3 linked regions of the Cricetulus griseus genome follow. The protein of the gene in region 3 interacts with the protein of the main gene of each other region in a pairwise test. Links are inferred from orthologs where the notes say so. Each region holds a gene or a part of one and is shown on either strand. Other genes may lie near its edges.

Region 1 (3,651 bases), about 92 Mb from region 3:
CTAATGTACCCTTTGGACAAGGCCACACTAACCCTGGGCTCAGCGCTTGGGTGTTCACCAATTACTGAGATGATCACTACCATGATTGTTAGTGACCTTCAGATTCCTCGATCGTGCCTTGCTCAATCCGGCCTTTGCCTACATTCTTGTCTCCACCTGGGGGGGCTCCTCCCTGTTCTCACATTCCTGCTCCCTCTTCCCAAACCAGGTTAGAACCTACCTCCTCCTCCAGGCTGCCTGCCACCTAGACACACATGCACACTTGATCCCACTCTGCTAGGATTCTATTGAGCACACATGTGTCAGGCTCTTTCTCTGCCATTGCTGTGGTCACTTGCTGCATGGTTACTTTCTTAGCCCCAGAGCCACCCACCCATGATCCCAACATACCCAAACTCGAACTTTATGAAAACAGAGGCTGGGCCTTGCTCACCATTGGACCCCAGCCCCACAGCTAGAGCATATAAGTGCTCAGTCAGCACTGGTAAGGTGTCCCCATTATACATACCTATGGGTGAAAGCCCAGCCAAGATCCCTGGGAACAGGATCTGTATGACCTCGGAGCAAGGGATACTGTACCAGTTCTGATTTCCAGAAACACCCCAGGAGTACCACATCCCAGCACCCCTCATCTTGGGGAGAGGGTGGGTGCCTCTTGGGTCATTTGTTCTGTTCATCTGCTCCTGCAAGGGGTACCAGGATATCTTCCCCCGCCCCTAGCAGTAGGGCAAATGTGGGTGGTGGTCAAGCTGGGGATCTCCTTTGCACAGAGCAATCCCTGGGGTCAGGCTAAGGCAGGCTGGGGTGGAGTAGAGAGCAGCACAGGCCTGAAATTGGGACTGTAGACATGTGAATGCCTTGTCGGCCATGGCTGTTTCCTCTTCCCTCTGTTCCACTGAACTGCATAGCTTCTGGGAGGCCTGTGCTGCTCAGGTACCCTAGGATACCTGGCATGTGACAGGCACTTACTGAAAAGTGACAGAGAAGATGTGATGCCAGACAGGAGGTGTGGTCTGTTCCCTAGGTGGCCAGAGAGAGCCACAGGGGGATTCTGAATGGAGAGCAGTTCCCAAGTTGCCAGCCATGTCTAGTGAGGGCTTGGTGGACAGAGGGCAGTGGCTGACTGCATGGGAAGAGAGAGCAAGCTGGGAATAGGGTCAGGTGTGGGTATAGTGACTCCCACCCCTGAGGCGAGGGCGAGTGGAGGAACAAGGGTACACAGAGGCACTGAGCTCCTGCTCTGAGGGTAAAAGGGCATAGGAGGGAAAGGCTGTGAGAAGGCTGAGGGAAGGCACAGTGAGAGGCCCGAACCACAGGCAGAATGGGAGCTGTGGGGACATCCTGACCTCCAGGCCGACCCTTGTATGTGTGTCCACAGAAGCTAAAGGATGAAATTGCAGATGTGTTTGCCCAAATCGACTGCTTCGAGAGTACTGAGGAGAGGTGAGGAGCCCAGACAGTGGGAGGACCATCCCTGAGTACATCTCACTCCCCGTGTGCCATGGATGGGGGTAGGACCCAAGGAGATGCCACAGCTCCATTCAGACTGTCTGGACCACTCCCCACAAACTCTCAAGGGACCCTTATCCTCCCCCTCTCCATCCCACCTCCCCACACAACCGCCCCACATATTATTTATCAGGAACAGCTGGAAGCAGATGAGCAAAGAAATGTCCCCTGGGCAAGGGTGAAGAAACTCTGGTAAATGGGAACCAGAAGCCTGGCCTGGAGTAGGCCCCACTGGTCCACCTCATCCCACATCCATCATTGGTCACACAGGAAGGCTCCTGCTGGTTCTTTGTCCTAGGAAGGGGCCTTCTCTCTGGGCCTCAGTTTCCCCATTTGTATAAAAAGAAGGTCAGGTTTTCACATAATCTCCCAGATTACAACCTCTTGACACTGTAAAACTAACAAAATGACATTTCAGCTACAAACTGGAAAACAACCTCAATGTTTTCAGTAAGTTTACCTTTGAGTAGGTAGTGTTCATTGTTCTCTTGGGCCAAATGCAGCCATGTGTGCCCAGTAGGCTGGTCATGCCTGTCTGAACTCTAGGGCACTGAACTATAGAACTACACATGGTTACCTGCCCCACCTCCAAGACTTCTGCCTCTCCAGCATCTCATGCACACACACAGCCATGTATGCCCTGGGTGAGGGCAGCAGGCAGTTCTTGCACAGAAGGAAACAGAGGGATAAAGGGACTCACCTCTAGTGGCCTGGCCCAAGAGTATAGCAAGACTTAAGCTCAGGAGCAGCCTCTGGGGTGCATGTTCCTGCTGGCCCCATCATGCCCCAGCCTTCTGCATCCTCCCCAATGAGCTCTGCTGGGCTCCTGGGGGGCTCAGAGTTCAGTGCTCAGCTTGCAGCCCCGCCCCTCGACACCTCCCATCCTGTTCTTGCTCTCCCAGGTGGTCCAGACACAGGGGATACTCTTGGAGTTTCTCTCCTGAGGAAGGGCCCCTGAGGGATTATGGGGACAGTGGCATCTAGAGCCACCATTTTGATCTCCCCCTGTTCACAGCCGGATGGCACAGAAAGAGAAGGAGATGTGTATCGGGAGGAAGAAATTCAACATGGACCCTGCCAAGGTACACATCCAGGGGAGGGGACATGGATCCCACCAAAGTGGGCATCCGGGTGGCCACAGGAGGGTGATGTAGGCCTCACCAAGGTGCAAAGCTGAGCTAAGGGAGGAGGCTGCCTTCTGGGTACCTTTGCAGCTGATTCCACAAGCCAGCAGAGGTGAAAGCTGAGACCCCTCAGTGCCAAGCCTTTGGTCCCCAGCTGGGGCGAGCTTCTGTCCACTCCACAGCACTGCATCCCAAAGATGGGAGGCATGAAGTCCCCCCACTTGGACCCATTCCCTTTCTTCCCTGGCCCTAAGCCCTCCTCTGGAACAGGGTTAAGGCAGTGAGGCCCTTAGGTGGTGAACTCTGTCCCTAGCATGTCTTCCAAGTTCAGGCTGCAGAAACCATTTGAAGCTTGGTTGCCCATGACCTCAGAGTCAGCCTGCAGCCCTTCACTCTGCCAGGTGGCCATGGTTTCCCTCTCCAGTAGGGGCAGGCAACAAAAGGCATACACTGTACTAGGGCAAGGGTCCAGACAGACACAGCTGAGACTGCCTCAGCACATGGATTCCCTTGTCACAGCCACAGGCCCTGGACCACCGCTCCACTTACCTGGCCTCATACAAACGTACACCTATGTTCCCAGCTCTGGCCACAGGGTGCACAGCATCCCAGTCCTTCCATCTAAGAGCAGCAGGGACACAAGATGTCAGAACACCAGAGACCAGTCCATGACCTCCAAAATCTTAGGGGTGACTTTTTGTGCCTGGGCAGCAATGAGAGGGGCTCAGGAGCCTATCTGGCAAAGCTGGCTTCAAGGTGAAAGGAGGCTGGGCATGTCCTCCCATCTCCCACAGAAGGAGAGAGAAGGTCATTGCCATGGAAGCTGGCTACCTCCCAGGTGGGGTCTGTACAGTCTCCTCCTCTTTTGATTTAGCTGGTCTGTGTGACTTTTACACAATGGGCACAGATTGCTGGTGTGATGAAATGAAACTATTTGAAATAATAAGAGTTTGGAGAGAACAAAAGGAGATGCTGAATCACTGAGTCTTAGCACTGTGACTCCCAGCAGCCACGGGAG
Region 2 (4,250 bases), on a different chromosome or scaffold from region 3:
CTCAACTCCAAGGGCATCTGACGCCAGACTGGCCAACCCCTATAATAATGCTTTCTGAGAGCCGGGTCCCAGCTGTGCTGGACAGGGATTAGGGTTCAACATCATGGCTACATTTATTTACAAGCCTTAGTTTGTTAATGTTAAAATGCAACCAATCCACAGGAAAAATGAGACTCCGTTGTTATTATACATCCGAGGGATAAAAGGCTGGAATTATCCTAACATTCCGAGGATGAAGAAGGGTGGAGGTGGGGGTGGGGAGAGGCTGACTTCTCAGTGGGCTCATTTTCAGATTATTATTATTGACAGGTCTCTCTAGGTAGGTCGCTGTGGCTGACCTGGAACTCACTATGTAAACTAGCCCACTTTGAATTCATAGAGATCTGCCTGCTGGAATCAAAGGTATTCACCACCACACCCAACTTTTATTATTTTTTAAAATAAGCACTTAAAATTTTTTGTTTAGCTGGGCTTCATGGCGCACCCTTTTAATCTCAGCATTTGGGAGGCAGAGGCTGGTGGCTCTCTAAGTTCGAGGCCAACCAGCGTGAGTTCCAGGATAGCCAGGGCTACACAGAGAAACCTGTCTCAAATTTTTTATTTTATTCTATGTGTATCTGTGTTTTTCTTGTATGCATACATGTGCACGGCAAGCGTGCCTGGTGCTTGTGGAGGCAAGAAAGCATGTCGGATACCCTGAAACGAGTTATAGATGTTTGTGTGCCCCCATGTAGGTGCTAGGATGGAACTGAAGTGATCCAGACAAGCAACCGGTGCTCTTAATTGCTGAGCCAAGCCATCTCTCCAGCTCCTTATTCTTTTTTAAACTTTTATTTTCTTTTTAATTAGGTGTATGTCTGTATGTGGATATGTGCATATGAGTGCAGGTGCCCTTGGAAGCCTGGGTATTGAATCCTTTTTGGAGATGGAGTTACAGGGAGTTTTGAGCTTCCCCGTGTGGGTGCTGGGAACCAAACTATGGTCCCCCTGCAAGAGCAGCAAGTACCTTTTACAGCAAAACGATGTTCCCACACAATTACTATGTGTATGTAATGTGTGGACGCCCACTCATGCCGAGGTCACAGTAAAACTTTATAGTCCGTTCTCTCCTTCTACCTTTATGTGGGGGACCAGCCTTCACTCTAGATCTTTTCCCACTCCCCTACTCCGTGCGCGCGCGGCTCGCAACCCTAGCCGCCTGGATTTGTATAGTGGGGCGTCCACGTGCCCCTGATTGACAGGGCTTCTTCTCCAGGATGCCCAAGAGTGTGAGAATGGAGGTTTGAAGGAGTGTGCTACTCGGCAGGATCCAGGTCTCTGGGTTAGCAGCTACTGCAAGACCGGGCGGGGTTTGGAGGGCGGGACCGCCCGGCGTCGAGTCTCCGCCCACACCGACAAGATGGGCGTGGCTTTTGGCGTCACGTGACCGCGCCCGAGCAGGGAGGCCCCGCCCGGCCCTCCGAGGAGGCCCGGCTGCGACCCGGGCCGCGCGCACTGAGGAGCTCCTCGGTTCTGCTCGCGGCTGCTTCTCCTAGTCCCGGCTTTCAGCTCAGTCGCTCCCGCCGGCTCCGGGCTCGCCGGCTGGCGGGGAGTGGCCTCAAGATGGACGAAGGCGGTGGCGGTGAGGGCGGCAGCGGTGAGTGATGGAGGTGTGGCCCTCTCTCTGGGCGGCCCTGAGGCCGGGGGGTCGCGCTGTGGAGAGCCCAGGCTTGAGGCGTGGGGCCGGGTGTGGGGTGGGGTGTCGGCGACCGTGGGGAGGTGCGCGGGGTGAGGCCGGGGCTTAGGCTTCGCAGCCCTGGTGAGAGGACATGTCGGAGACCGCGGGGTCGTCTCCCAGAACGGTCGCGGGTCGCGGGTTCGAGGCCGGGGTCTCCGCGGCGCAGCTCCAGGTGGCCTTTCCGAGATAGGCGCACATTTCAGGGCGACCTTTCCAGTGTCTCTTCGCCAAGGGCGTCCACGCCCTCCCGAGCACAGCTGTTTCGGACGGGCCCCGCTCCCTTTCAGCTCTCCTCAGGTGTCTGGAGCCAGGGAGCTTGTGGGAAATAATGGGGAGGGGAAAGTTTTCAATTTGGATGTCTCAGGGGTCCAGCGAGGGAGGGGTGGGGAGGTTGGAGATCACGACCGCATCTCTGGTTTTTAGATCTGAAGTGTTCGCTGCAAAAGGTTTAAACGACAAGAGGGACAGGCACCTCGAGTCCGGGTCTGAGCATACATTTTTATCAAATTGAAAAAAATATGCTACCGGGTAGTATAAAAATTTTAAGAGGGAGGATAAATAGCTCTGTAATAGGATCCATATCTGGCATGCCCAAGGCCCTGGGTTTGATCCCCAACGCTTCCAAAAGGAAAATATAATTAAGAAATTAAAGTGATCAGGTGGGATCCCTTTAAGGGTGGGACTCAGGAGCCGTGGCCAGAAGCATGACTCTGACTCCAGGACAGGTGCGTGGTGGCAGCCACCTTCCCAGAAGTGGGCTCTCAGTTCCCGGTGTTGCTCAAGCTGTTTGTGCCTTGAGTTCCATCCTGCTGCAAATGTGCTGCTGGTCGTAAACTACTCAGTGGAATACGAATTATTGTTGTGTCATCTTGTGAATTTGGTTTTCCAAAAACAGTAAGAGTCGCCGTATGTGGAGTGCATCGCTGATTGAAGGGTTAAGTACCCCTCACTTTTACCCCAACACCCCGACCCCAAGTTGAAGCTGTCTGGACTTTTTGCTGACAGAATGATCAGAATCCCGTGTAATAAGGGAGTGTTTAGGGAAAAAAAAGAGTCTTAATTACAGGCTGTTGGAGCAGCTGCCTGTAAGAATCAGCAGTATTGAAGTCTTCCCGGTGAAGTGGTTAATCAAGGTGCCTTCTAGAATTCCAGAGCTTCCCTGAAAGAGACGAGGTGGCTAGGCTGGTAGGAAGTTGGCACCCCTCGTGGCATTTGCCAAGTTCAATTCTCATAGTAAAAGCCAGGGGTAGCACAGTGGCAGTGAGTGGGTGTTTTGTTTATGAAAAGAAGAAACCCAGTTACAAACCCTCCTCCATACCGGCTGCTGGTCTGGAGACACTAGATCCCTGTGGGTGCCTTGTCTTTCGCCTATATCATCACACTTGGACATGGTATCTTAGAAAAGACAGTGGGCAATATTTAAACGTTTGACTTAGGAAACTAGCTGGTTTGGCGATTGCTTTGCAGGTGCTCCAGATTCCCTGAGTCAATAAATTCGAAAGATTTGAAGGGAAAAGCCACACAGAGGGAAAAAACTTAGAAGCCAATGTGTTTCAGCAGTTTGAGAATTACAATAATTCTAATAATTACAATAATATTATCAAAAGGGTTTAAAACTATCTCTGGGCTATTAATATCTCTTCTGGGACTATATCCCAGAGAAACAATCTTAAAATTAAAAAAAGATGTTACATTCAATGATACCTCATTCCATGGTAAAATGTGAAAAATCAAGGAACAGGTAAGATTACTTTGAAGAGACATTAAAAATAAGCAATTAAGGGGCCTGCTGTCAAGACAGCCTGACAGCCTTAATTCAGTCTCCAGGAGCCACATGGTGGAAGGAGAGAACCAACGCCCACAAGTTGTCTTCTGACCTCCATAGGCAAGCAGCAACAAGCTTGCACGAATACGGACAATTTAAAAAAGTTACCAAGAATATGTAGTTATTTTATACATTCTGGTCTAGACAGTGTAAACACTGGTAGCGGTCTGGATTTTTCTTTATATTTCCCAGGTTTCTTGAATAAAAATACATGCATTACTTTCAAATTTGAAAAAAAGAACCTCAGCTTATAAAAGATGTGGATATTTTAAATGTACAGTGTCATTTAATTCACCTTTTTGGAACATTTGACAATGAAGAGATTTAATTGATTTTTCTACTCAACTGCCAGACAGCATGCTAGGTGATAGAAAACAACTTTTAACTTTCATTGATTTTTTTTAATTACTTATCAAAATCTTTCCTCTTACAGTGTGGAAAGACACTTGCAGGTACTTTTGGCAATCCTAGAGTATTTAATTTTGAACCATTGAAAATCTTCCATAATTTTGAAATGTGAGTCATTATATACTTATTTATGAACTTGATGGATTTCTATATAACTCTTTACCTATGGAGGTTTGAAGTTAGCATATAGTTCCTTGTAGTAATCCCATTTCCATTTTCAAAAACTGCTTCACTTTAAAAAATTGTCTCTCTCTCTCTTTCTCTCTCTCTCTCTCTCTCTCTCTCTCTTTAAATCAGCCC
Region 3 (2,872 bases):
TGTTTCTTTGGGTTTACAATTTATGGCATAAATGTCATAAACTTTAAATTTCATGAGTAGAAAAGCTAGCCTAAGGTTCAAGGTAAGAAAATTATGTATAACAAGCATTGAAATTTAAGAGTGGTGGAGCAGGAGGGGCAGCAGGAATAGAAGGAAGGCATTCAGAAAATGAATAATTATCAATACATGCTCCCGTAATTTTTCCCATGAGATTTCCTGAGCATTCCTCACATACTATAGTGCAGCACAACTTCAGTAAGTCATTAGTATGCCTATTTTTCTCAAGCAAAAATGATATGCTTCTAGAATATATGTATATATATATATATATATATTGAACAACACATAATAGAACACTGTCTTTCAAAACACTATAATTTGCACTTCTATAAATACATTTAAATAAGAAACATAGCTATTCACATCTCATACTATTTGACACATAAACATACAAAAATAAAACAATCCTAACTGTTTTGTTCGTCTAGGTTCTTTTCTAAGTTCAGAACAATTCAGAAATAACCTTAAGAATTTGGATCCCAAGTAAACTGGATATAAATTCATACTGGGTTAGGCACCACAGTCAAGGATGAACACAGTATGCCATCCCTTGCAGTGGGGATTACTATCTCCTACCACTATTCAGAGAAGCTGGGGTGGAGGACAAAGGTCTCCAACTGTCATGCATAGTCTGTCTCCTAGACATTGTGAGGCAGGGCCACCTTAATCAGATTCCCCACCCTAGGCAAAGCATGCACATAAGAAGATGTCCTCTGAGTGGAACAGAAAGCATGCCTTTTCCCTGGACTCCCCACTCTCTATCCCACTAGGGTAGACTCTTCAAATAAGTGCTCAACAAGTTGAAAAGGCACTGCTCTCTGTACCAAAGACAAGAAGAGCCTTGTGTTCCACAATTGCTAACACATGTTCAGCTCCAAAAACTACTGCGAGAGAAATGCTTCCACTTGAAATGTTTTATAGAGTTCTGCAGCCCACCAAAAGGGATTCTACATGTTTCTTTTGCAAAACGGAATGTTCCTATGAATTATTATCCCTGGTAAAAATCAGGCCTTCTGTCTGTGGTAGAATGTAATTCTCTTGAAAGCAAAGGAGGGGTTACCCCTTAGACATCTCACCTAGAGCCTAGCATTCCTTCCAGCTCCTAGTGGGAGCACAGAAGATAGGCCTGCTCAGATGAACTCCACAACTCCAATATTGATGAACACAACACACGGAAGCCGGGACTCCACTGCATCAGAACTGGCTTCTCCCTGGCTTTGTCCTTAGCAGGGAGGGATGATGCCTCAGGAACTGGGTTTGGACGGCACTGTCACAAGGAAGAGAGCAGTCCTGGTTTCTGCTCAAAGAGAATTCTCAACACAGTCAGAAGAGCTGGGGTTCTTGAGTTCCTGGGAGGCAACTTCAGGGTCCTGAGGTACCTGCTGCTGATGATAGATGTCCTGGATCAGCAGTGTGTTCATGACCTTCCACTCTCTGTACTTCCTGGCTGTCAGCTTAGGATCATCCAGCAGTTGGTTGATCATGGCCAGATCATGTTCTTTGCACTGGCCGAGAAGAAAACAGGAAGGAAGGGGCATCAGTGAGAACATGAGCATCTGAACTTTGGTGAGTCAACTTCCTCAGCCCTTTCACAGACTCACAGACCCATCCACCACAACACTACCGAAGTGGTTTTGCAAATTAATATTCTAATCTCTCAACATGCCTGAGGTCTGGCACAATATCTCTTCACATGTGGAAGCCACCAAGAAGCTGTATATATTCACTCCCCAGGTTAGTGAAAGAACCAGACAGTCTGTTTTCTGTGCTGGCCCCTTGACCCATCTATTACCCCACACAGTAGGGTGACTCCATGTTAGTGTGTGTCACTGGGTGCTGGCATGCCCTGAAGCTTAGTTAGTTGTACACACGGGTGCTTCTCTGACCATCCAAACTTCACTAAGTAAAACTGGAACATAGTACTTTACCTGAGGCATAAGGTAACAAAATATATCTTTTTAAATTTTGTAGATTTTTAAATGATTTTTACTGTCATATTCTATTAACACACATATTTATATATGAAAAGTATGGTTTCCCTTTTTATTCAAAGATGAGATACCTAACTTTCCACCAGAACAATGTGTGTGCCAGTATAAAATAGCCTATCAGTGCTGCTTCCTCGGCTTCACTAAAGTTATAAGAAAAGAAGGAAGCCTCAATTGATAACTTGTTTCCAGAAGATCAGACTTAGGCAAATTCTTAGGGCATTTTCTTAATTAGTGACTAATGTGGGAGGGTCTAGTCCATTGAGGGTGGAGCCACACCTGGGTTCTATAAGAAAACAGGCTGAGCAAGCCAGTAAGCAGTACCCCTCCATGGCCTCTGCATCAGCTCCTGCCTCCAGGTTCCTGCCCTGTTTGAGCTCCTGTCCTAACTTCCTTGGTGATGAACAGGGATGTGGAAGTGTAAGCCAAATAAACCCTTTCCTTCCCAAGTTGCTTTTGGTCATGGTGTTTTATCACAGCAATAGTCACCCCAACTAAGACAATCTGAGTTTGAACCAGCAGCACCCACATAAAAGGCCAGGATAGTTGCATGTGCCTGTAACCTCAGCATTGCTGTGGGGACAGAGACAGGTGAATCTGCAGGGCTCCTGGTACAGTCAACCTCTCAGAAAGGCCCCTTCTCATTCAATGAATGGACCTGCCTGAGAGTCAAAAAGTGGAAACTAATAGAGAAAGACATGTCACTTCTTCTGGCTTCCACATGTGCATGCATGAGTGACTCACATGCATGCACCACACACACACACACACACACACACACACACACACACACACACACACACACACAGGTAAATTAATTAACC

The links.
Region 1: the proteins of Ipcef1 (region 3) and Cyth4 interact in binary tests that used the Homo sapiens proteins (3 or more experiments, as listed by UniProt). The link is inferred for Cricetulus griseus from reciprocal best matches to the Homo sapiens genes IPCEF1 and CYTH4.
Region 2: the proteins of Ipcef1 (region 3) and Cyth3 interact in binary tests that used the Homo sapiens proteins (3 or more experiments, as listed by UniProt). The link is inferred for Cricetulus griseus from reciprocal best matches to the Homo sapiens genes IPCEF1 and CYTH3.

What each region holds. Positions count from the first base shown.
Region 1 is NC_048595.1:375,704,833-375,708,483, forward strand, and holds part of Cyth4 (cytohesin-4), read left to right. Parts: intron 1-1,378; coding exon 1,379-1,443; intron 1,444-2,524; coding exon 2,525-2,591; intron 2,592-3,651. UniProt on the Homo sapiens protein: Promotes guanine-nucleotide exchange on ARF1 and ARF5. Promotes the activation of ARF factors through replacement of GDP with GTP.
Region 2 is NC_048597.1:80,124,105-80,128,354, forward strand, and holds the start of Cyth3 (cytohesin-3), read left to right. Parts: upstream 1-1,439; 5' UTR 1,440-1,602; coding exon 1,603-1,636; exon of another isoform or gene 1,637-1,649; intron 1,650-4,250. UniProt on the Homo sapiens protein: Promotes guanine-nucleotide exchange on ARF1 and ARF6. Promotes the activation of ARF factors through replacement of GDP with GTP. Plays a role in the epithelial polarization.
Region 3 is NC_048595.1:284,043,232-284,046,103, forward strand, and holds the end of Ipcef1 (interactor protein for cytohesin exchange factors 1), read right to left. Parts: intron 1,566-2,872; coding exon 1,362-1,565; 3' UTR 591-1,361; downstream 1-590. UniProt on the Homo sapiens protein: Enhances the promotion of guanine-nucleotide exchange by PSCD2 on ARF6 in a concentration-dependent manner.